Macaca fascicularis: one gene and its partners. The protein of the gene in region 2 purifies or fractionates together with the protein of the main gene of each other region. This does not show direct contact. Links are inferred from orthologs where the notes say so. Each region holds a gene or a part of one and is shown on either strand. Other genes may lie near its edges. The genes, in order: PRC1, PLK1, ANKRD52, MAVS, STXBP4, PPP6R1 and SHCBP1.

Region 1 (3,981 bases), on a different chromosome or scaffold from region 2:
ATATGAACGTAAGTTACAGTTGGCCAGTAAACACGAAAAATGTGCAATTTCAGTTATAATCAAGTGCCAAACAAGGAAATGCCAGTATTATTATTTTACCTACAAAATGAGCAAAGATGTTTAAAAGTATGATAGAATTCAGCCCTGCTGAGGGTAACAAAAGGAGGGTACTTTTCCGGTGAGGCTTTGTGCAGAAGGCAAATTAATAAAGGGAGCATTCAGTAATTACACCTCTAGGAATCAGCCATACGAAAATGCAGGATGCAAAGATTTATGTATGAAGATATTCAGTCCAGCCTTATATTTTGAATTATCTAAATATCAATAGCAGAATGGGCGAGATAGCTACACACCAGGATATTATGCCACCATGAATCACTGGGAAAAAAAATGTGATATATAAGCATTTAGGGATGTAACATGTTCATCGAGGAAAGGAGGCTACAAAAGTACTATGATGTTTATTTTGAGTTTTAAATTTTTCATGTAACAATTTAGAAACTAATTTGAAAGAAAACCACACCTAGGTGATCTGCATTTATTCACCAATCAGGTGAGTTGGGCAAATCATTCAAATCTTTTTGAGTTTCCTCTGCAATGGTGACAATACTTGCCATAACAGGATTGTGGAGGTTAAATAGGATAACTAGCGTTGAAAGGTTCCAGGCCCATGAGCAGGGCTCAATGTTCCTTCCCTTCCCCTTAGTGTACGGCTTCCTACATCTGGGGAGAAGTCCCACCAAAGATCGGTTCCAACGTTCGCTTCTTGGATGAGCAAGGGAAACTAGGCTCTAACTTTCCTATTCCTCCCCGCTCCCGGTCCCGGCAGCCGGGACTCAGGGAAGCCGGAAAGCCGCGGTGCTCTCAACTCCTTCCCCGCCCGCGCACTTCGAAGACAAACTGCGCCGGGCGGGGCGGGGCGGGGCGGTGCTCCGATGACGTAGCCGACTCGGGAGGGGAGTCCCTTGAGGCTGCAGCCAATCGAGGGAAGTGGGAGGTGCAGGCCACGCCCGCCCACTCACAGACAGTGACGTCATCCCCCGCCCCGCTCCAGCGCTTCCCGGGCCCCGCTCACGAGTCCCCGCCCCGACTGCGCACCCGCGAGCTGCAACCCGAGGGGCGGGGATTTTCGTGGAGCGACGGGACGCGACGCCAATCGCAGCGAGGCTTCGCCCCGCGGCGCGGTTTGAAATTTTGCGGGGCTCAACGGCTCACGGAGCGGCTACCCGGAGTGAGATCGCCGGTGTTTGCGGGTGGTTGTTGCTCTCGTGGCGGTGTTGAGTAGGTCTAGAGCTGGACTGACGGCTGCTTGGAGCGTCTGCCATGAGGAGAAGGTGCGGGTTGCGGGGAAATCGAGGGGACGCGGGAGAGAGCGACGCCCGTCTCGGGTTCAGGGGTTCAGGGGTGCGGGGCCCGTGCGGGGTCCCGGGACTAGGGCGTCACAGCAGTCGGCGCTGAGTGAGGCCGGGGGCGCGAAGAGGCAGGGTCTGGAGGCGGCGAGCCAGTGCGAGGGCCGCGACGGAGGTGAGACCTGACGCGCTGTCCCCCGGCGGCCGCGGGTGTCCGCAGGCTCAGACGCCCGGGTGGGAGCCGAGCGCCGGTGCCCGGACGCGGCAGGGCAAGCGAGGCCGGGGGCCCGGGTCGGCCTCCACCCTGGCGGTCAGCGCTGGCGCTCGGACCCCACCCTCCCCGCCCTCGGCGTCTCAGGTGCCGCTTCTTGGCGCAGATGACTCGTAAACCTTCTGTGGTCCTGGCTTCTCTTTAAAGCTGTTAAGTTTATTTATCATTGTTTTGTTTTATTCTTTGTTTTTGTGGAAACGCGGTCTCCCTATGTTGGCCAGGCTGGTCTCGAACTCCTGGCTTCAGGTGATCCTGCCACCTCGGCCTCCCAAAGTGTTGGGATTACAGGCGTGAGCCACCGCGCCCGGCCCGTTGTTTTTCTTTATATCTGGCCAGCGGTGTTAACGTTTTGTTTGAATTGGAAAGATAGCTTTGTTTCTTTGCAAGTTAAGAAACGGATTATGGAATTCTTTTCCGGTCGTTTTAATAACTTCCTAGGCAGTGTTGGGGAGGGACTGACCGACTTGAAATCCGGACCAGTGACACTGACACTTACCAGCCTTGTGCCTTCCAAATATTAACTTTAATTTCTGAAAGTTGTAGATGAATTATTGTGATGATACAGCGTTAATTTGTAGTTTTTGGTGAAACTGATTGTTCTAAGGCTTTGTAAGATTCTTCATTTCATGATCACTGATTCTGATCTGTCTTTTTCAAATGCTTGCCCTCAGAATAATGAGAATTGAGTGCCAACATGGTGAAACCCCGTCTTAACTGAAAATACAAAAATTAGCCGGGCGTGGTGGTGCGCCTGTAGCCCCAGCTTCTCAGGAGGCTGAGGCAGGAGAATCGCTTGAGCCTGGGAGGCAGAGGTTGCATGAGCCGACATCTCGACACTGCATTCCAGCCTGGGTGGCAGAGTGAGACTGTCTCAAAAAAAAAAGTCCATTAACAGTTTATGAATTATTTAGGCATCTCCTCTATCAAGGGATTGAATGAAGCAGGAGAAAAAATTACCCTTTAGTGTTGGTTCCAGGCTAATGGATATAATTTGACTTTTTTTTTTTTTTTTTGAGACAGGGTCTCACTCTGTCACCCAGGCTGGAGTGCAGTGGCGAGATTCCTCACTGCAGCTTTGACCTCTGAGGCTCAAACAAAACTCTGGCCAGAATTAATTATGGTTATCGGTCCCCGAAACAGGTTGCACAGGAGATCAACAAAGCTCCTTCTCTGGAGTGCTAAGAAAAAATAGGGCAGTGGATCAGTGAAGGCTGCCTGAAGGTAGGAAATAATTTAGAGGACCACTTTGAGATTTCTTCCAGTCCAGTGATTTATGTTCAAGACTGAAAAAACTGACTCATTCTACAACCTTTGTGTCCTTGAGTGGTAGTCTTTGTATGCACTCTGAGTTTTTCAGTGAGTCTAAAAAAAATCTCAGACTTGCTCCTTTTAGGGGATTACCTGAAACAATTTAGCCAGGTAGTATTTCAGTGTATCATGACAATTGTTCATAATGATTGCTCTGAAGCATCTTAAGAACATACAACTTTTTTGAAATGTCACATTATTCATTCAAAAAGACTTCTTGGGCCTGGCACAGTGGCTCACACCTGTAATCCCAGCACTTTAGGAGGCCAAGGTGGGAGGATGACTTGGGCCCAGGAGTTCAAGACCAGCCTGGGGCAACATAGCAAGACCCTGTCTCTAAAAAATAATAATAATCTATACTAAAAAAGAAAAGAAAAATAATTCTTGAATGTTATATACAAGGAACCATTCCAAGTGGTGGGGATATAGCAGTGAGCAAAAGTGACATCCCTGTCCTCACAGAGTTTGTATTCTAATAGCAAAACAGGAGTGTAATAAATAAGTTAATCTTAAATGGTGATAAGTGCTATGTAGAGAAATCAAGCAGAGAAAGGGGATAAGAAGTACTGAAGGTGTAGGAAGTGGGGTTGTGGTTTTAAAGAGATGGGTCAGGAAAGGCCTCCCTGAGAAGGTGATCTCTGAGCAAAGACCTAAGGAGGAAAAGGGTGAAGCCATGCAGCATGGGGGAAAAGAGATCTAGGTAATCAGCATATCCAAGTGCCCTAAGCGGGGATAGTGCCTGGTATGTTCCAGAAAGAGCAAGGAGGTCTCTGTGACAGGAATAGAATGAGCACTGAGGTCAAAAGAAATGGCTTTCAGATGGAATGGGCCTTCATAGGGCTTTGCAAAGCCAGAGGCTTTTCCTTGGAGTGAGATGGCAAGTCATTGGAGGGTTCTGAGTAGAAGATTAGGACTTGGGGCTCCTGTGTTGACAATAGACTTAAGGAGGCCAGCATTGAAGCAGGGAGACCAGTTAAGAAGCCATTGCCATACAGCAAAAAGTTAGTGGCAGTGACCTGGACGAGGGTGGGGGTGGTAGTGGTAGCAGCAGAG
Region 2 (3,500 bases):
ACAACTAAAAAATCACTGGCCCCTAAGAATCCTAGTCTCACCACGTGTATTCTGCTAAGGGCTCATTCTAGCCAATATTATGGCTCCTGGGGCTGCTCAGTGGACTTGGTTGTCTTCAGGGGCCCCAGAGTTACAGTGAGTGTCCAGAGGATGCCTGGTCTTTGTTCTGACCCTGAGATGATTTCTCTTATGTCTGGGTTGTGGCTGGGAGGCTGGTGCCAAATCCTACCTTGTGCTTACAGGTATACCTTGTTAGTGGGCAAACCACCTTTTGAGACTTCTTGCCTAAAAGAGACCTACCTCCGGATCAAGAAGAATGAATACAGTATTCCCAAGGTGACTAATGATGCTTTAACTTTACATTTATTTTGTTTTCCCCAAAAGCTGTTTATGGAGCCCAGCAATATCCTAAGACCAGAAATAGGTCTATCCCACCTCTAGGATAGCCACAGAGCTTGCGAGGGCCTGTGTCTGAAATTACATACAGAACTTGACATGTATGTGCACATAAGCATTTTTTCTAGGGGGAGAGAGTTGGCAGATTCTCAAGAGATTGGGTAGCCCAAAAGTTGCGTAAAAAGCAAAAAACAAAGGAGGTAGGAAGGAGTAGGAGGCTAAAGTGCTTAAGCTTTGGAAATGGATTATCTTAATTCAAATGGATTCTGCCACTTAGCCAGATCACATTGGGCAAATGGCCTGCATCTTTTTTTTTTCTTTTTTTTCTTTTTTTTTTTTTGAGGTAGAGTTTTACTCTTGTTCCCCAGTGCAGTGGCATGATCTCGACTCTCGACTCACTGCAACCTCCACCTCCCAGGTTCAAGCGATTCTCCTGCCTCAACCTCCCAAGTAACTGGGATTACAGGTACCCACCACCTTGCCTGGCTTTTTTTTTTTTTTTTTTTGTATTTTTAGTAGAGATGGGGTTTCACCACGTTGGCCAGGATGGTCTCGAACTCCTGACCTCAGGTGATCCACCCGCCTCAGCCTCCCAGAGTGCTGGGATTACAGGCATGAGCCACCATGCCCAGCCTGGCCTGCATCTTCTGAACCATAGTTCTCGTCTATAAAGTGGAGTTCCTGCCTTGGAGCACCTCACAGAGTGCCTTACATGTAGTAAGTGCTCACAGAATTATGAATCACTGAATCCCAGGGCTTCCTAATGGCATAGTGGTGTGCAATTTCCTTTTTTTTTTTTTTTTTTTTTTTTGAGACAGAGTCTCACTGTATCGCCCAAGCTGGAATGCAGTGATGCGATCTCGGCTCACTGCAAGTTCCCCCTCCTGGGTTCACACCATTCTCCCGCCTCAGCCTCCTGAGTAGCTGGGACTACAGGTGCCCGCCACCACACCCGGCTACTTTTTTTGTATTTTTAGTAGAAAGAGAGTTTCACTGTGTTAGCCAGGATGGTCTCAATCTCCTGACCCTGTGATCTGCCCGCCTCAGCCTCCCTAAGTGCTAGGATTACAGGCGTGAGCCACCGCACCTGGCCATGGTGTGTATTTTCACAACCACCAACAGAAATGCATTTAAAGGAATAGCTGGTTCCTGCAGAAGCCTAGCACACAGCCAGTTTGAAGTGTAGTGTCCTTGTGTGAAGCCAAGAGGCCTGTCACCATAAGGACGGACATAGTAAATCCATCACAAAGTGTCAGTTCACTGTCAGAGACAGCATGGAATCAAGCCAACTAGACAAGGCCTTCACCCTCTCTGTGCCTCACTTTCCTCCTCTGCAAAAAAGGGATGATAATAGAGCCCCACCCCTTAGATGTATTAGTGAGGGCTAAGTGAGCTAAGTACAGGAGTGCTTAGAATGCTTTCCTGGCACATAGTAAGTGCCAGGAAAGTGAGTTGGTGCTAGGCCACAGTCCATTGACCCTTCTGTCAAAGGTGCTCAGTAAAGCCGACAGTGGAGAAGTTGGCATTGAACCAAGTTGTGAACCACTAACCTGGGGTGTATTTGAGACTGGGGACTGCGTGTGGTCTATTGGCCTGCAGCCCCTTTGAGGCCGTACTGTACTCCGGGTCCCCTTCACATTCTGCTTATGGCTGTCCCTCTCTCTGCCCTAGCACATCAACCCCGTGGCCGCCTCCCTCATCCAGAAGATGCTTCAGACAGATCCCACTGCCCGCCCAACCATTAATGAGCTGCTTAACGACGAGTTCTTTACTTCTGGCTATATCCCTGCCCGTCTCCCCATCACCTGCCTGACCATTCCACCGAGGTTTTCAATTGCTCCCAGCAGCCTGGACCCCAGCAACCGGAAGCCCCTCACAGTCCTCAATAAAGGTACAACAAGGGTCTGGGTAAGAGAGCAGACTCCCCAGAGAAAGCCCAGGTTGTAGGGGTGTGTGTGGCTTAGTCCCTGGCCCCAAGAGCTCAGGTTTGGTTTAGGACAGACCTCTGTCCTTAAATTCGTGATTCCCATGCCCATCTGCTTAAATTCGTGATTCCCATGCCCATCTGCTCCTCGGCCTTGCCGGGAAAGACTGACCTTACCATGGCTGGATAAACCTGCTGTGCTCAAGAAGAAGAAAATGGACTGAATACCAAGCCTAAAAAATTCTTTCCAATCACTTTAATTAATTAATTTAATTTTTTGGAGACAGGGTCTCTCCTCTGTTTTCCAGGTTGGAGTGTAGAGGCACAATCACAGCTCACTGCAGCTTTCAACTCTAGGGTTCAATCAATCCTCCCATCTCAGCCTCCCAAGTAGTTGGGACTGTCAGGCATGAGCCACCATGCCTGGCTAATTTTTTTTTGTTTTTGTAGAGACAGTGTTTTGCCATGTTGCCTAGGCTGGTCTTGGAACTCCTGGGCTCAAGTGATCCTCCCACCTCCACCTCCCAAAGTGTTGGGATTACAGGCATGAGCTGCTACGCCTGGCCTTCTAACACTTTTTCATGATTCATTGAAAAACATAAAAATTTCCTTTTTTTTTTTTTTTTTTGAGACAGGTCTGGCTGTCTCCTAGGCTGGAGTGGAGTGGTGTGATCTTGGCTCACTGCAACTTCTGCCTCCCAGGCTCAAGTCATCCTCTCATCTCAGCTGAGACTACAGGCGTGTGCTGCCATGCCTGGCTAATTTTTTGTATTTTTTGTAGAGACAGATTCTCACTTTGTTGCCCAGGCTGTTCTCAAACTCCTAAGCTCAAGCAATCTGCCCGCCTTGGCCTTCCAAAGTACTGGGTTTACAAGTGTGAGCCACTGCACCCAGCCAGCATGAAAATTTTCAAGTACACATATAGAGCATAATGTAATGGATTCCCTCATACTTACCAGATTCAATAATTAGTTATCAGGATTTTGTCAAGTTTGCTTCATTCATTTATTTTTGTTTCTTTGAAGTATTTTTTAAAGTTAACCCCAGGCACTTTGCCATTTTTATACATAAACTTCAGAATACTTCTCTTAAAAAAGATGGACATTTTCTTAAAAATCAAAAAACCACATGCCATTGCTTAGGTTGTCATTGCTTCTAGGTCTCTTCAGAGAACAGAATT
Region 3 (3,500 bases), on a different chromosome or scaffold from region 2:
CCTTGCTTCTGCCTTTTTGTGGGAGAGGGGATAAACACAGTGCAGGGTAGGAAGCCTTGAGGGGCCCAAGGAGCTTGTCGAGGACTAAGACCTTGAGCTTCCCATGGACCCCAAGAGCAGAGAAGGGGAAGGGAAGAGCAGGGAAGGTCCCAAGCTGTGTGCACTGGTTGCCTGCACCCCTCCAGGCCTACAACGGTCACTGTGAAGCCTTGAAGACACTGGCAGAGACGCTGGTGAATCTGGACGTAAGGGACCACAAGGGCCGGACCGCACTCTTCCTGGCCACGGAGCGCGGCTCTACTGAGTGTGTGGAGGTGCTTACGGCCCATGGCGCCTCTGCCCTCATCAAGGAGCGCAAGCGCAAGTGGACGCCCCTGCACGCTGCTGGTTAGTGCCCACTTGAGGCTGCTGCCTTACCCTTGCCATGCCAGATCCCTCCTGGATGGGAATGGGGCTGGAAAGTGGAGTAGGGTGAGGAGAATAGAGACTTCAAGCCCTGATTCATAGCTTCCTATCCTCAGAGATTTCTCTGTGGCCCAGGTCTTCCTGTAACATTGACCCCAAGTCCTTTAGGCTTGACCTCGCCTCCCTTCTTCCTCTTGGCCCTGCCCTGACGCGGGGTCCCTTTCCCCTAGCTGCCTCTGGCCACACTGACTCCCTGCACTTGCTGATCGACAGTGGGGAACGAGCTGACATCACAGATGTCATGGATGCCTATGGACAGTGAGTGTGGGCCAGGGTGGGGTGCAGGTTTTCCAGTCCTTGTGGGATCCTCACTCCTCCTCCTGCCCCTCTGTAGGACCCCACTGATGCTGGCCATCATGAATGGCCATGTGGACTGTGTACATCTGCTGCTAGAGAAAGGATCCACAGCTGATGCTGCTGACCTCCGGGGCCGCACCGCCCTCCACCGCGGGGTGAGTGAGCTTCTGGGGGGGATTGTTTGCATGTGGGCCTCAGTGTGGGAGCACGGGACTCACCAGCAGTAGGGAATCCAATTGTCTAGGAGGCGAGCCAGGATTTTGTGCCCAGTCTCTTTTTTTTTGGAGACAGGGTCTCACTCCCATTGCCCAGGTTGGAGTGCAGTGACACTATCATGGCTCACTGCAGCCTTGACTTCCTGGGTTCAGGTGATCCTCCCACTTCAGCCTCCTGAGTAGCTGAAACTATAGGCACATGCCACCATGCCCAGCTAATTTTTGTATTTTTTGTAGAGATGGGGATCTTACCATCTTGCCCAAACTGGTCTTGAACTCCTGGGCTCAAGTGATCCCCCAACCTTGGCCTCCTGAAGTGCTGGGATTACAGGTGCGAGCCACCAGGCCCATGCTGTGCCCAGGATCTTATTGAGCCTTGTGCTTGCTCCAGGATGAGTCCCTGACATCCCCAGCTGATTTCCCTGGTATCTGTGCTTTGTTTTATTATTATTATTATTGTTGTTATTATTATTTTTGAGACGGAGTCTTGCTCTGTTGCCCAGGCTGGAGTTCAGTGGCGTGATCTCGGCACACTGCAACCTCTGTCTCCCGGGTTCAAGCGATTCTCCTGCCTCAACCTCCCGAGTAGTTGGGATGACACGCCCAGCTAATTTTTTTATTTTTAGTAGAGACCAAGTTTCTCTGTGTTAGCCAGGATGGTCTCAATCTCCTGATGATGAGATCCACCCGCCTTGGCCTCCCAAAGGGTTGGGATTACAGGCGTGAGCCATTGTGCCTGGCCGATATCTGTGCTTTGTAATCACATACAACTGAGTGCTTACCACTCACTCTACTTGGGATACCCTGCTGGCCCCATCCCATCGCATAATGTCAGCACCACCTAGATCCTCTTCCGCGACCACCTGTCCTCAGCTGCCTCCTCCTCCCACAAGATTTTTTGATCCCTTAGTCTCCTTCTTCTCTCTGTTTAGTCTTTCACTCCAGAGCTCTAACTCTTAGTATCCTGAATGTTTATTGGCATAGAGAGAGTCAAGGAGGGAGATGTGACACTTAGAATCATTGTTGTAAAGGGCCGGGCGCGGTGACTCACGTCTGTAATCCCAGCACTTTGGAAGGCCAAGGCGGGTGGATCAGCTGAGGTCAGGAGTTCGAGACCAGCCTGGCCAACATGGTGAAACTTTGTCTCTACTAAAAATACAAAAATTAATTGGGCGTGGTGGTGCATGCCTATAATCCCAGCTACTCAGGAGGCTGAGACAGAATTGCTGGAACCCGGGAGGCAGAGGTTGCAGTGAGCCAAGATCACACCATTGCACTCCAGCCTGGGTGACAGAGTGAGACTCTTGTCTCAAAAAAAATAATAATCATTGTTGTAAAGACAAGGATTGAGGCCAGGTGCAGTGGCTCATGCCTGTAATCCCAGCAGTTTGGGAGGCCAAGGCAGGCGGATCACGAGGTCAGGAGATCAAGACCATCCTGGCTAACATGGTGAAACCCCATCTCTAGTAAAAATACAAAAAAATTAGCCGGGCATGGTGGCACCTGCCTGTAATCCCAGCTACTCGGGAGGCTGAGGCAGGAGAATCGCTTGAACCTGGGAGGCAGAGGTTGCAGTGAGCCAAGATTGTGCCACTGCACTCCAGCCTGGGTGACAGAGCAAGACTCTGTCTCCAAAAAAAAAAAAAGACAAGGATTGGAGCCCTGGAAGTGGTTCTTACTCCTGAGCCAGACTCAAGCAACAGGCCAGCAGAAAAGAAGGAGCTTTTCATCCCCTTCACACCCCCATGTTACTCACAGGCAGTGACTGGCTGTGAGGACTGCCTGGCTGCCCTGCTGGACCACGACGCATTTGTGCTGTGCCGAGACTTTAAGGGCCGCACACCCATTCACCTGGCCTCAGCCTGTGGCCACACTGCAGTACTGCGGACCCTGCTGCAGGCTGCCCTTTCCACAGACCCCCTGGATGCTGGGGTGGATTACAGCGGATACTCGCCCATGCACTGGGCCTCCTACACTGGTACTAGACTGGGGCCTCCACAGGCACAGGAGTATGTGTTGGAGTGTGTGTAGAGGAGGACGGGTGGGTTTTGGGAGTGACCTGGGTTGATCTGAATCTGGAAGTAGACTGGAGTGTCAAGACACAGGACAGACAGGGAACCTTGTTGTTTTTCTCCATCACAACTCTTCCTTACTCATGCCCAGGACACGAAGATTGTCTGGAGTTGTTACTTGAACACAGCCCGTTTTCATACCTGGAAGGAAACCCCTTCACTCCTTTGCACTGTGCAGTGTAAGTCCCTTCTGCTGCATCAGCCCTTCTTGCGAGGGCCCATGACCTGAGCTTAGGACAGGTAGCCTACTTCCCTTGTCCTTCCTGATGACCCCTCCTCCCTGTTCCTCTAGGATTAATAACCAGGACAGCACCACAGAGATGCTGCTGGGAGCTCTGGGTGCCAAGATTGTGAACAGCCGAGATGCCAAAGGACGGTGGGTGATAGAAGACTTGGGGAGAAGTCCAGTTGCCTCTGGCTTCCTCTTTCTGCTTGGGCAGTATACTCTTCC
Region 4 (3,500 bases), on a different chromosome or scaffold from region 2:
TGGGCATAGTGGCGCAAGTTTGTAGTTCCAGCTACCTGGGACGCTGAGGCAGAAGGATTGCTTGAGCCCAGAAATTTGAGGCTGCAGTGAAGTATGATTGCACCACTGCACCCAACCTGGGTGACAGAGTGAGACCCCATCTCTTTTTTGGTTGGTTGGTTTGTTTTTGAGATGGAGTTTCGCTCTTGTTGCCCAGGCTGGAGTGCAATGGCGTGGTCTCGGCTCACCTCAACCTCTGCCTCCCAGGTTCAAGCAATTCTCCTGCCTCAACCTCCCGAGTAGCTGGGACTACAGGCATGCACCACCATGCCCAGCTAATTTGTTGTTGTTGTTGTTGTTGTTGTATTTTTAGTAGAGACGGGGTTTCTCCATGTTGGTCAGGCTGGTCTCCAACTCCCAACCTCAGGTAATCCCCCAACTTGGCCTCCCAAAGTGCTGGGATTATAGGCATGAACCATTGTGCCCAGCCTGAGACCCCGTCTCTTAAAAAAGAAAAAGAAAAAGAAAAAAAAGCCGGGTGTGGTGGCTCACGCCTGTAATCTCCAAACTTGGGAGGCTGAGGCGGGTGGATCACTTGAGGTCAGGAGTCCGTGACCAGCCTGCCAACATGGTGAAACCCCATCTCTACTAAAAATACAAATATTAGCTGGGCATGGTGGTGGGCACCTGTAATCCCAGCTACTGGGGAAGGAGGCTGAGGTAAGAGTCAATTGAACCCAGGAGGCAGAGGTTGCAGTGAGCCAACATCGCGCCACTGCACTCCAGCCTGGGCGACAGAGTGAGACTCAGTCTCAAAAAAAAAAAAAAAAAAAAAAAAGAAGAAAAAGAAGAAGAAATTCAAGATGAAAGAAAACAAAAATTCCAAAAAGTTGAGAAAGAATTGCCTTTTGTCCAGCCCCACTCCCAACCCTGTTGTCATGTGTGATTCTGTTTTCTTCCAGTCTCGTTTCCTCTCAGTCCATCCACCCTTCACGGGGCCAGAGCCCTCTCTCTAGAATCTGAGCAGCAATGCCGTTTGCTGAAGACAAGACCTATAAGTATATCTGCCGCAATTTCAGCAATTTTTGCAATGTGGATGTTGTAGAGATTCTGCCTTACCTGCCCTGCCTCACAGCAAGAGACCAGGTGAGCAAGGGAAGTGACAACCGGATACTGGCCTGGGGGCAGGACTGTGGAATTCAAAGCTCAGCCCTATCCTAGTTCCTCACCCAAGCCAGGGCTGGCTCCTTCCTTCTGCCTCTTGCTGTGTCTTGCTCCTTGTCCTTGCTGCTTTTCATTTTTTTTTGAGACAGAGCCTCACTCTGTCGCCAGGCTGGAGTGCAGTGGCATGATCTTGGCTCACTGCAACCTCCGCCTCCCAGGTTCAAGTGATTCTCCTGCCTCAGCTTCCCGAGTAGCTGGGATTACAGGTGTGTGCCACCACGCCCAGCTAATTTTTGTGTTTTTAATAGAGACGGGGTTTCCCCATGTTGGCCAGGATGGTCTCGATCTCTTGACCTCGTGATCCACCTGCCTCAGCCTCCGAAAGTGCTGGGATTACAGGCGTGAGCGCCGTTGCTGCTTTTCTAACTTTTGGATGAAGTGTGGCTCGGGGTGGCATTGCTGACTTCGCCGAACTCCCCGTTGTGTTGTTTTTGTACACTGCTCAAAAACATGGCACTGGCTCTCTGAGATTTCCTGGCTCTGGTCCACTTGCCCACTTTTTTTGGAACCTCCTATTTCCTTCATCTCTCTTGCCCTTCCTTGTCCTGCTCAGTTTTGACTCCATTCTCCTTGTCATGGGGCCCTGTCCAGGCACAGCGCTGGGACTCAGGTTTGAGAGCAGGCAGGAGCCAGGTCGCTCTAGCCCCAACAGAACTTGCTGCAGGCCCCTGGCACTCACTAGCTGGTGAAACGGGCACAACCCCTCCCCGTTGTAGCTGCTATTCTCAGATTGGACCCCTGTGCTCCAGAGGGTACCTGTTGGCTCTTTTGGGGCCTCCTGTCCTCAGATTTCTCAGGAGCCCCATTGCTGTCTCTGGTGTCCTCCCACACAGATCGTGTTAGTATGCAGGTCTGTTTGGGGTTTGCCCCTCCCTCTTGTATTTTGGGGTTTATAGGGATATCTTGTTTTGTAGTAAATATTTTCTGTGGGTTTTATTTTCTTTAAAAAATTTTTTTTGAGACAGAGTCTCACTCAGTTGCCCAGGTTGGAGTGCAGTGGTGTGATCTCAGTTCACTGCAACCTCCGCCTCCCGGGTTCAAGTGATTCTCGCGCCTCAGCCTCCTGAGTAGCTGGGGTTACAGGCGCATGGCACCACACCTGGCTAGTTTTGTATTTTTTTTTTTTTTTTTTTGAGACGGAGTCTCACTCTGTTCCAGGCTAGAGTGCAGTGGCGCAGTCTCGGCTCACTGCGAGCTCTGCCTCCCGGGTTCACAACATTCTCCTGCCTCAGCCTCCCGAGTAGCTGGGACTACAGGCGCCTGCCACCATGCCCGACTAATTTTTTGTACTTTTAGTAGAGACTGGGTTTCACCGTGTTAGCCAGGATGGTCTCGATCTCCTGACCTCATGATCCGCCCGCCTGGCCTCCCAAAGTGCTGGGATTACAGGCATAAGCCACCACGCCCAGCTAGTTTTGTATTTTTAGTAGAGACAGTTTCACCATGTTGGCCAGGCTGGTCTTTATTTTTATTTTTGAGACCGAGTCTTGCTCTTGTCACTCAGGCTGGAGTGCAGTGGTACAATATTTTGTTTTGTTTTGTTTTGTTTTTGTTTTTGTTTTTGTTTTTTTTTGAGACGGAGTCTCGCTCTGTGGCCCAGGCTGGAGTGCAGTGGCCGGATCTCAGCTCACTGTAAGCTCCGCCTCCCGGGTTTACGCCATTCTCCTGCCTCAGCCTCCCGAGTAGCTGGGACTACAGGCGCCCGCCACCTCGCCCGGCTAGTTTTTTTTTGTATTTTTTAGTAGAGACGGGGTTTCACCGTGTTAGCCAGGATGGTCTCGATCTCCTGACCTCGTGATCCACCCGTCTCAGCCTCCCAAAGTGCTGGGATTACAGGCTTGAGCCACCGTGCCCGGCCTTTTTTTTTTTTTTTTTTTGAGATAGAGTCTTGCTCTGTCTTCTGGGCTGGAGTGCAGTGGTGCCATCTCGGGTTACCGCAACCTCTGCCTTCTGGGTTCAAGCGATTCTCCTGCTTTAGCCTCCTGAGTAGCTGGGATTACAGGCACGTGCCACCATGCCCAGCTAATTTTTGTATTTTTAGTAGAGACGGGGTTTCACCATGTTGGTCAGGCTGGTCTCGAACTCCTGACCTCGTGATCCTTGGCCTTCCAAAGTGCTGGGATTACAGGTGTGAGCTACCGCGCCTGGCTATTTTCCTTTTTCTAAAAATCTAGCTCCTGCAGGATTCTGTGGGTTTTTGTTTCTGCTATCTGGTTGCTTGTTTTTAATGTGGGAATTCAGATAGACATAAAAACTCTAGGGCTGGGCACAGTGGCTCACGCCTGTAATCCCAGCAC
Region 5 (3,500 bases), on a different chromosome or scaffold from region 2:
CATGTACATCACTTGTAGAAGCTTCAGGAGAATATGGACCTCAAGCCTCAACATTTAGTTTTTTTTCTTCTCCTCCTGAAATACTAATCCCAAAGACCTCATCCACTCCCAAAACAAATAATGCCATTTTACCTTCTTGTGAGGTAAGTCAGGTAATCTTAAATTTATGTATGTACTCCATAAATTCCCTATACATTTTTACATTGGTTATATACATATAGAATTATTTCAGTAAAATTGTTAACAAATTAATATTTCTTTGAAAGTTTTTTTTATTTTTTTCTATTTAAAATTTTGATGCTGTGTTTTCAATAAACATATTTTAAGTCAGCATGTCCTGTGGCCAGAAGCATGATGGGTTAGAAAATACCAGCATGACGAAATAGTTCCACAAAGATATGCCTAGATATCACTCAAAACTATGTTAGGAATGTCATATTTAGTTTCAGTTGGTTTAGTTATTTGCCATTTCTGTTCTCTGCTTGACTGAAGTCAGGCCATCTTCCTTTTGTTCTTAGCTTCTTTCCCACACAGTGAGGCTAATCCCAGGCTAATCCAGTCTAAGAGGGTATTGCACCTTCATGCGTGCTATAGTTCACCCAAGTAGAATCACACAAAATGGGCAATTTCTATATCAGAATTAACATACTCAATTACTAACTGCTATACTGTCCTAACAAATTACAGTTATAGAATAAAGTGTGTATTATTTATGTCTGTGTTAGCTGTAAAATAGGGAACTTATGCTTTTAGTCAGTAGAATAAAATTCGTCAAAGGTAACTTCAGTCTCTGGTACATGCTGAACAGAGACAGAGTATACGATTTTCTGTCAGCCCCTTATACTTTGTCACTTGCAGCTATAATACTTTTAAAAGACAACATGTGTGGCCTTATATTTTGTTATCCTTGGATGTGGTAGAGCTGAAAGCAATTGTTACCTTTAATTCTGAATTGCTTTGTTTGAAGATGCATATACCAAAATTTTAGAGGGTTCATGTTTGAGGGACAATTACTTTAATCTCTGTAACCATTCTTTTTATGTTAACATGGGCTTCAAGTGACCTACTTTAGTAAATGACATTGCATGTTCCTCATTTTCTTTCACAGATAAAAACTGGATACAACAAAACAGAACAGATTCCAATTACTTCTTCAGAAAACTGTTCTGTGGGTTTGTCTAATACAGGTAAATACACGTTTAATTTCTCTTTCCTGTTTTTTTTTTTTTTCAATTCTCTCTCAATGAGGAGTATGTAATGTGACTTAAGACTTCGAAGAAGGGTGAATTATGTCTTTGTTCCTTCAGTGAATGAAAAAGTAAAAATAATGTCTTTATGTTGGTCCCTGTTAAAATACGACTTTTATTAGAAATTTCCCTGGACAAAGAGTTGAAATTTCAAAAGATGCATTGTCATAACAGTGTTTATAAAGCTATAATAATTCATGAATTGTTTAAATCAAATAATGAAAAGTCTTCTATAAAGATCAAGATTAGGTTGCCGTGTCCTTTTAGTGCAATACTGATGAGGCATATTAAATACACCTTTCAGAAAACACATTATAGAAGGGAGCATACCTTAAGAAATGTGTCTTGTTTTTTTGGAAGAAATCATATGGATATCAATCAGAAAGGATGTCAGTATTGTTAATTCATTATTATTGATTCTTAATTACCATAAAATGATTTACTGACTTTTTAAAACAATAAAGCATTAATTATCTAAGCCAAGTGTAAAATAAGGATTTTTATTTGGCTGTAAGGTGTTTACAGGATCAATATCAAGAAAAAGTCCCCTGAAATTATCTCCAAAAGTTAAACACAATGATAAAAAGACTAAACATAACTGAAAAACTAATTATATATGCCTAATTATAATGCAAATTTTTACCTGTATATTTTAGTTTTGTTTTAATAGCATTATTCATATAAGAACAGAAAAATAAGGAAGCATTAATTTAAATTAAATAGCAACCAATCTTTTTTTTGAGACAGATTCTCGCTCTGTCGAAGCTCTGCCTCCTGGGTTTACGCCATTCCCCTGGCTCAGCCTCCCGAGTAGCTGGGATTACAGGTGCCCGCCACCATGCCCAACTAATTTTTTGTACTTTTAATAGAGACGGGGTTTCACTGTGTTAGCCAGGATGATCTTGATTTCCTGACCTCGTGATCTGCCTGCCTCAGCCTCCCAAAGTGCTGGGATTACAGGCATGAGCCACTGCTCCCAGCCCAATAGCTGCCAATCTTTACAGGAGTTTATACTATATTCCACAGTGGTTTACTCCGATTTGGGGTGGTATTTACAAGTGGGTTAATAGCAATCTTCAGCCATGAGTTATATTTGCTTTTACTTAGATTTATTGACCCTTAGAAACTTTATAGTATTATTCCTCTTACATAATTAATTTCCAGTCTCTGGATGTACTATATTTATTTTAAACTGGGAACCCATATGAGAAGAAAAAGACAAATGAAACAGTCATGAGATGAACATCAAAATTGCTGGATGATGGAAGTCAGAATCCTTTATTCCTTGATTATATTATAAATTATTAATAATTATATAACATGTTTTTAACTTTTAAAGTAATTAAACTATTCAATGCCTCTTTTAACCTTTTATTCAGTAAGGATTTACTGTGTTATATAGAATACAGTACAATGGGATTTATGAAGAAATTAGGATATTTTCTGTGAGATACTTAATAGTATATTGTGAAATAAAACATGGGGCTAAAAATTCTAATTATTCAAATTAGGAAACATTCTAATTTATATGCATGTGTTTGTTTATAGATGTGTGTGTATGTTTATTTTATCAAGCAGCTACTATTTGCAGTTTTTTGTGTTAATCGGAGCAGGATGTGGGTGGTTTTGTTACTCTAAAAACCATTCTGTCTTGTGGATAAATAACACATTTAAACAAATTATGTAAAGACATGAACATAGAGGCCTAAGGAAAGAAGTAGTGAGTGCTATGAGTATGGTATAAGGAAGGCACAGTGGTTACCACCAGACTCTGGATACAGACTCAGTGTTCAAGTTCTTGCTTTCATCTTATTAACTCTGTAACCTTGAAAGAGTTACAAGTTTACACGGAGTTGTTATGAGGATTAAACAAGATCATGCATGTCAAGCACTTATATTGTAATTAGTGCATAGTATATGCCTACTAAATTTTCCTGTTACTAATAATACAGAACCTATAGCTTAGAGTATAGCTCAGATAATATTCTAGGTCGTGTTTATAGAGCAGAAGGAAAAGCTTCCAATTCTTGATTCAATTTTATGTCCTCCCCTTGACCCCAAAAACTAGTATATAATAAGGAATCTGTCACAATATGCAGAAATTAAGAAAAATTTCTTGTCAAAAGTCAGACATTATCCATATCTTGAAAAACGTGGTAAACATCAATTGATAACTGAACACAGGAGATCGTTTCAAGTTAAGGAAGCACCACAAATGAAAGAACTAAGGATGAACTAGAGGTCAGATGACTC
Region 6 (3,500 bases), on a different chromosome or scaffold from region 2:
AGTAGAGACGGGGTTTCACCGTGTTAGCCAGGATGGTCTCGATCTCCTGACCTTGTGATCCGCCCGCCTCGGCCTCCCAAAGTGCTGGGATTACAGGCTTGAGCCACCGCGCCCGGCCTGTGCCCCCTTCTTCTTAACTCGTGTCCCTGTGTCTGGGTGACCGTTTTTCCCTGGATGGTCAGCTCGGGGGCGGGGCTTCCAGCACCAGGCTGCAGAGGGCCCGGTGGCCCACCCAGGATCCTCACCTGTCTCTCCCCATCCCAGCAACATTCCAACGCGTCCCAGTCCCTGTGTGACATCGTCCGCCTGAGCCGGGAGCAGATGATCCAAGTCCAGGACAGCCCGGAGCCTGACCAGCTGCTGGCCACCCTGGAGAAGTGGGTGTGCGGGCGAAGCTAAGGCTGGGGGGAGCTGACTCGGGGATGCCCTGGGCCCCTGGCCCCTCACCCTGACCCCCGCCCCCACCCCCATAGGCAGGAGACGATTGAGCAGCTCTTAAGCAACATGTTCGAGGTGGAGCAGAGCCAGTCTGTCATCGTCAGTGGGATCCAGGTGCTGCTGACCCTGCTGGAGCCCAGGAGGCCGAGGTGAGGGATATGAGCCGCAGACCATGCATGCTGCCCGTCCCCTGGGGCTCTCTGGCCCCTCAGAGGCGGGTCTCGGTGTCCACCAAGTGAAACTGCCGCCTCCAAGTGGCGCCTTGCTCTGGTGGCCGCTTGTGCTCCCTGTGCAGTGGACAGTATGGGCCCAAGGGAGGAATCTTCCTGTCTTGTTTGACAAATGAGGGCGCTGAGGCTGAGGCCACTGCTGCAGCTTGTGTTGGGAGGGACCTCAGGCCCCCGTGCCCCTGCCTTACCATAAAGGCCTCTAGCTTGTTGGGTGTGCCTTCCCGCCCTCATCCCTCACCGGTGCCCCCACAGTGGACTGCCAATGCTGCCACCTGGCGAGCTCCCCACCCCACCCCAGCCAGGTGTAGTCTGAAGGGCCTCAGAAGAGAGCAGCGCCAGGGGCATGTGGCTCCTCGTCTTCCTCCAGACCCTGCAGACTCAGTCCTTGCGCCTGCTGTCGTGTGGGCACGCAGGCCGTCTAGGCTCACTCTGCCTTTGACCCTGCCCTGCTGCAGGTCCGAGTCCATGACTGTGAACAACTTCTTCAGCAGTGTGGATGGGCAGCTGGAGCTCCTGGCCCAGGGAGCCCTGGAAAGCACTGTGTCCAGTGTGGGCGCCTTGCACGCCCTGCGCCCGCGGCTCAGCTGCTTCCACCAGCTCCTGCTGGAGCCTCCCAAGGTCAGGGGCGGGGGTTGTGGTCCTTGGGGAGGCGGGGGAAGCAGGAAGCGCAGCCCTTGGGAACCAGGGCTCCCTGTATCTGCAGCTGGAGCCGCTACAGATGACGTGGGGCATGCTGGCTCCGCCTCTGGGCAACACGCGGCTGCACGTGGTCAAGCTCCTGGCCAGCGCCCTGAGCGCCAATGATGCAGCCCTGACGCAGGAGCTCCTGGCACTGGACGTGCCCAACACCATGCTGGTGCGGGACTGGACTGGGCTAGGGGCTTAGGGGCTGGGGTGGGACCGGACTGAGCTAGGGGCTCGGGGGCTGGGGGCTCAGGGGCTGGGGTGGGGACCGGACTGGGCTGGGGGCTCGGGGGCTGGGGGCTTAGGGGCTGGGGTGGGACCGGACTGAGCTAGGGGCTCGGGGGCTGGGGGCTCAGGGGCTGGGGTGGGGACCGGACTGGGCTGGGGGCTCGGGGGCTGGGGGTTAAGGGGCTGGGGTGGGACCGGACTGAGCTAGGGGCTCGGGGGCTGGGGGCTCAGGGGCTGGGGTGGGGACCGGACTGGGCTGGGGGCTCGGGGGCTGGGGGTTAAGCGGTTGGGGTGGGGACTGGACTGGGCTAGGGGCTCGGGGGCTGGGAGTTAAGGGGCTGGGGTGGGGACTGGACTGGGCTAGGGGCTCGGGGGCTGGGGGTTAAGGGGCTGGGGTGGGGACCGGACTGAGCTAGGGGCTCGGGGGCTGGGGGGGGGACCGGACTGAGCTAGGGGCTCGGGGGCTGGGGGTTAAGGGGCTGGGGTGGGGACCGGACGGGGCTGGGGGCTCGGGGGCTAGGGGCTTAGGGGCTGGGGTGGGACCGGACTGAGCTAGGGGCTCGGGGGCTGGGGATTAAGGGGCTGGGGTGGGGACCGGACTGAGCTAGGGGCTCAGGGGCTGGGGGCTTAGGGGCTGGGGTGGGGACCGGACTGAGCTAGGGGCTTGGGGGCTGGGGGCTTAGGGGCTGGGGTGGGGACCAGACTGAGCTAGGGGCATGGGGACTGGGAGCTTAGGGGCTGGGGTGGGGACCGGACTGGGCTGGGGGCTCGGGGGCTGGGGTGGGGACTGGTCTGGGTGGGGGCTCAGGGGCTAGGGTGGGGACCAGACTGGGCTGGGGGCTCGGGCGCTGGGGGCTCAGGGGCTGGGGGCTCAGGGGCTGGGGCAGGGCCTCTCTGGTACCAACCCTGTGTCCTCCCATAGGACCTCTTCTTCCACTATGTCTTCAACAACTTCTTGCATGCCCAAGTGGAGGGATGCGTGAGCACCATGCTGAGCTTGGGGCCACCTCCTGACAGCAACCCTGAGACGCCCGTCCAAAACCCTGTTGTGAAACATGTGAGCTGGGACTCCCTGATCCCCTCCTTCTGGGCCCATCCCCTGTGGGCGCACCCTCTCCAGAGGCCTACCCCTCACTTCTTCCTCCCACAAGTGTTCGTTGGGTAGTGTTAGGTGCCAGCACCCAGATGGGATGTGGGAGGCATGGCCAGGGAGAAACGGGGATGAAACATGCAGGTGCAGGGAGCAGTGGGCTCCTGACTTGAACCGAAGAGCTAGGGGTGGGCGGGAGCAGACCTGCGAGCGGCTGTGTGTGCATGAGTGTGCACACATGAGTGTGTGTGTGAGAGCACGTGTCTGTTAGTGCATGCATGTGTGTGAGCATGTGTGTGTGTGTGTGTGCACGCATGAGTGTGTAAGCATGTATGCATGTGTGTGCACGCGTGTGTATGTTAGTGCATGCATGCGTGTGTGAGCACGTGTGAGTCTGCATGCATGAGTGTGTGTGAGCATGTATGCATGTGTGTGCATGCGTATGAGTGTGTCTGTTAGTGCATGCATGTGTGTGTGAACATGTGTGAGTCTGCATGCATGAGTGTGTGAGCATGTATACATGTGTGTGCACGTGTGTGTGAGCATGAGTGTGTCAGTGCATGCATGCGTGTGTGAGCATGTGTGAGTCTGCATGCATGAGTGTGTGAGCATGTATACATGTGTGTGCACGTGTGTGTGAGCATGAGTGTGTCAGTGCATGCATGCGTGTGTGAGCATGTGTGAGTCTGCATGCATGAGTGTGTGTGTGTGAGCATGTATGCGTGTGTGTGCACACGTGAGTGTGTGTGCATGCACCACATACTCTTCGTAGAAAGACCAGAGAGACTTGGCTGGATGCCAGGGTCCCAAGCCCCAGCTTCCATCCCTCC
Region 7 (2,834 bases), about 20 Mb from region 2:
GTAACTGGAGCGGATCCTGAAGGATGACAAGGACTACCCTTTAAACTCTTTCAACCTGAAAAAGCTGATTAAATAAATAAACTGCTTTAAACTTTCCTCACCTACATCAAAGCTTGATAGTGATCTACCTCATAGCTTGAAGTTCACAGATTTCCACTGAGTTAGTTCCCCTTTGCTGCCAAGAACGGCAGGTGACAGGAAGGCATTTACTTCCACCAATAAAAACAGAGATAAACTCCACTATCCCCTCCAGGAAATGCAGCCTGCAACCTGGTACATTCATTTCACTGCCTCCAGCCTTAACAAATGCCAGTAGGAGCCACTGTTGCTATCACACACCCACCATAGCATCACACACCCACCGTTGCTATCGCATACCCACCGTTGCTATCACACATCCACCCTCATTGAAAGCTAAGCATGATAAGGGAACTGCACAGAAACCACAATATCAAGATTTTGAATGACAGTTGAACTAATTGACCTTGAGAGTTTCTTTCACATTCTATAATATCATGGCTTTATCAAGGTTCTCTCTCTCTGTCTGCCCAAGCATATCCCAACAACCTTTTTTAAGGAACAGAGGAAGACTCAGATCCTTAATCAGCATTTAATGCTGAAATAAATTATGTCTGGTTTTTATATTAAAAATTACTAAACATACCTTCAGTTCCATCTTCAGCATTTTCTTGCAGGTCAGAGAAGATTGTAGGTTTCACCAAGACAACACCATAACCTTCATTATTATGTATTATGTTATTCACCATGGATATCTTGGGAATGTCATAATGTTCATCTAAGAAGTCCTGTGACATTGAAAACAAATGTTTTAGGAACTGTCATATTCAACATTTCCTGCCTTAAAAATCTTCTTTATTCATACTATTCTAAAAATAAAGGAGAAAAGCTATGCTTCGTCCCATGTTGTAGCACAGTCTGAGCCCTTAGTGACACAGCTTTCCTCTGTCATTTCTGCAGATCTATAGGTAACAAAGCATTCTCACAAGAGATTCCAATCACTGACTACCGATATTATCAAAATGTGTATACTGCTTCCTTTTCAAAACCAGAAAAACAGAACCCAACAATTTAATAAAGCATAATTTGTAGGTGAAGCCATTCTATCCATTGAAAAGTGGGTGTTTTGGCCAATGCTCACCTTAATGAGGATCCCTTCCTTGCAGTGATGGATCCCATTGTCACTCAGGGTGCACTGACTCCCAGGGTAGATTTCTATACCGGCACCCTGTGAGTCACAGTTTGAGATAATGACAATCAGTTTTTAAAAGGCAAGACTGTAAGAGATTACTACAATTACTTCTTAGCCTTTAACACAGTACAAATGTACAGCACAAAGATAAAGTATTTTACAGGTAAGTGTTATCAGCCATTTTTAATCAACACTTCCATTTGTTCCATTTCTAGCAAGTTGTTGACAATTTATCACTTTCAAAACCACACACACACACACTCACACACAGGCTAAGAGTGTCAACACTTGATTCTTGCTCTACTCTCTTTCATTCTAGATAAATGTTTTCTGATTCTGCCAAGAAAAAAAGTCATTAACAATTTTGTTGAAAGATGTACTTATTCAAAATGACCATTCTCTCAGATACTCAATTAGTTGGAGAAAAGTATTTGAATTTAGTAAAATATTGTAATTTGTGGATAGAAACAAGATCCCACATTTTCCAAAACGTGCCAGTTTTAAAATACCCCAACCCAACTTAAAAATCATTTCTATGAGTTAAACAATGGCTTTCCCTACCACACACGTTAACATTAGCAGCCAGTTCAAGCGTCATTCAAACAGAGTAACCAGAAAGATCAAACATGACACTATTCTCTCACACCTCATGGCACCAAAAAACATAAGAGTAGTAAGAATTTATTTCCCAATGCTATGCAAGGCACTCTGGAAACAAAAATGATTCACTCAAACCTCTATAGTTATTTCAGCAACCATTTGGGAATAATTTAACACACAACAGCATCGATGAAGAAGAGTTGCTACAACCATTGATAACACATCTACTGCATGTATGTTCAGTTAATTTTCTAGTAGCAGTAGTATTCCATGAGAAAACATTTATTATTATTTAACCCTGTACATGTGCCTGAATCATATGTATACACCAATCTAACCCTTCTGTAGAGAGGACTTTAAAAATGTGCTAATTGGGCCTACTTCTAGGAGATTTTCAGTTTGGGGTTATGTGCAAAAAAAGATTAGGGGTGATTACGTTAAAAAATATCTACAGCAAGATAGTTAAAATTAAATATCAAACTATCAGGAATCACATAAAATTTGTAAAGGAGAACAATTTAAACCTGTAGTCATGTAGCAAATGAAAGTCATATTCAAAATATGTTATGAAAAGGAACAGATAATTTGGCAATTAAAAAGTAACTGAGGAGTCTGCCACTTCTGGGATGATGGAGTAGATGTCCCTATTCCTCCTGCTAGGTACAACCAAAAACAATGGGCATTATATATAAAACAAGCATAAGACTAAAAAGTGGAGGGAATAAGACAGACCAGCTAGGGACCTCAGGACCTAAGAAACAACACCAACACAGTGGTAAGTTCCTTTCTTTTTGCTTCATAATCCCTAGACTTGGAGTTGAAGAAGCCAGCAATCCAGTACACCAACAGACATACACTTAAAAAAAAGCTGCTGTAACAAAAGGACTAGGCAACCTAGAAAGACAGAAAACTTTTAGATAATAATAGCTCTATTGCAGGTAAACACCACAGAATAAAACAGCAGCCCCAATCTCACCCATGCCAGCAAAGGTCAAGAGAAAAACTTAAACTTTTGCCCCCTCAA

The links.
Region 1: the proteins of PLK1 (region 2) and PRC1 purify together in Homo sapiens (affinity purification with western blotting; 4 studies listed by BioGRID and IntAct, with this or other methods). This does not show direct contact. The link is inferred for Macaca fascicularis from reciprocal best matches to the Homo sapiens genes PLK1 and PRC1.
Region 3: the proteins of PLK1 (region 2) and ANKRD52 purify together in Homo sapiens (affinity purification with mass spectrometry; 3 studies listed by BioGRID and IntAct, with this or other methods). This does not show direct contact. The link is inferred for Macaca fascicularis from reciprocal best matches to the Homo sapiens genes PLK1 and ANKRD52.
Region 4: the proteins of PLK1 (region 2) and MAVS purify together in Homo sapiens (affinity purification with mass spectrometry; 3 studies listed by BioGRID and IntAct, counting the BioPlex papers as one, with this or other methods). This does not show direct contact. The link is inferred for Macaca fascicularis from reciprocal best matches to the Homo sapiens genes PLK1 and MAVS.
Region 5: the proteins of PLK1 (region 2) and STXBP4 purify together in Homo sapiens (affinity purification with mass spectrometry; 3 studies listed by BioGRID and IntAct, counting the BioPlex papers as one, with this or other methods). This does not show direct contact. The link is inferred for Macaca fascicularis from reciprocal best matches to the Homo sapiens genes PLK1 and STXBP4.
Region 6: the proteins of PLK1 (region 2) and PPP6R1 purify together in Homo sapiens (affinity purification with mass spectrometry; 3 studies listed by BioGRID and IntAct, with this or other methods). This does not show direct contact. The link is inferred for Macaca fascicularis from reciprocal best matches to the Homo sapiens genes PLK1 and PPP6R1.
Region 7: the proteins of PLK1 (region 2) and SHCBP1 purify together in Homo sapiens (affinity purification with western blotting; 3 studies listed by BioGRID, with this or other methods). This does not show direct contact. The link is inferred for Macaca fascicularis from reciprocal best matches to the Homo sapiens genes PLK1 and SHCBP1.

Annotation. Positions count from the first base shown.
Region 1 is NC_088381.1:75,546,008-75,549,988, reverse strand, and holds the start of PRC1 (protein regulator of cytokinesis 1), read left to right. Parts: upstream 1-1,181; 5' UTR 1,182-1,323; coding exon 1,324-1,334; intron 1,335-3,981. UniProt on the Homo sapiens protein: Key regulator of cytokinesis that cross-links antiparrallel microtubules at an average distance of 35 nM. Essential for controlling the spatiotemporal formation of the midzone and successful cytokinesis.
Region 2 is NC_088394.1:22,751,436-22,754,935, forward strand, and holds part of PLK1 (serine/threonine-protein kinase PLK1), read left to right. Parts: intron 1-242; coding exon 243-336; intron 337-2,067; coding exon 2,068-2,287; intron 2,288-3,500. UniProt on the Homo sapiens protein: Serine/threonine-protein kinase that performs several important functions throughout M phase of the cell cycle, including the regulation of centrosome maturation and spindle assembly, the removal of cohesins from chromosome arms, the inactivation of anaphase-promoting complex/cyclosome (APC/C) inhibitors, and the regulation of mitotic exit and cytokinesis.
Region 3 is NC_088385.1:63,044,959-63,048,458, reverse strand, and holds part of ANKRD52 (serine/threonine-protein phosphatase 6 regulatory ankyrin repeat subunit C), read left to right. Parts: intron 1-185; coding exon 186-387; intron 388-635; coding exon 636-723; intron 724-799; coding exon 800-917; intron 918-2,735; coding exon 2,736-2,955; intron 2,956-3,140; coding exon 3,141-3,228; intron 3,229-3,341; coding exon 3,342-3,425; intron 3,426-3,500. UniProt on the Homo sapiens protein: Putative regulatory subunit of protein phosphatase 6 (PP6) that may be involved in the recognition of phosphoprotein substrates.
Region 4 is NC_088384.1:83,432,929-83,436,428, reverse strand, and holds part of MAVS (mitochondrial antiviral-signaling protein), read left to right. Parts: intron 1-941; 5' UTR 942-1,008; coding exon 1,009-1,125; intron 1,126-3,500.
Region 5 is NC_088390.1:51,691,605-51,695,104, reverse strand, and holds part of STXBP4 (syntaxin-binding protein 4), read left to right. Parts: coding exon 1-143; intron 144-1,108; coding exon 1,109-1,187; intron 1,188-3,500. UniProt on the Homo sapiens protein: Plays a role in the translocation of transport vesicles from the cytoplasm to the plasma membrane. Inhibits the translocation of SLC2A4 from intracellular vesicles to the plasma membrane by STX4A binding and preventing the interaction between STX4A and VAMP2.
Region 6 is NC_088393.1:63,175,863-63,179,362, reverse strand, and holds part of PPP6R1 (serine/threonine-protein phosphatase 6 regulatory subunit 1), read left to right. Parts: intron 1-264; coding exon 265-377; intron 378-473; coding exon 474-587; intron 588-1,123; coding exon 1,124-1,286; intron 1,287-1,371; coding exon 1,372-1,524; intron 1,525-2,502; coding exon 2,503-2,637; intron 2,638-3,500. UniProt on the Homo sapiens protein: Regulatory subunit of protein phosphatase 6 (PP6). May function as a scaffolding PP6 subunit. Involved in the PP6-mediated dephosphorylation of NFKBIE opposing its degradation in response to TNF-alpha.
Region 7 is NC_088394.1:42,490,634-42,493,467, forward strand, and holds part of SHCBP1 (SHC SH2 domain-binding protein 1), read right to left. Parts: intron 1,247-2,834; coding exon 1,160-1,246; intron 807-1,159; coding exon 665-806; intron 1-664. UniProt on the Homo sapiens protein: May play a role in signaling pathways governing cellular proliferation, cell growth and differentiation. May be a component of a novel signaling pathway downstream of Shc. Acts as a positive regulator of FGF signaling in neural progenitor cells.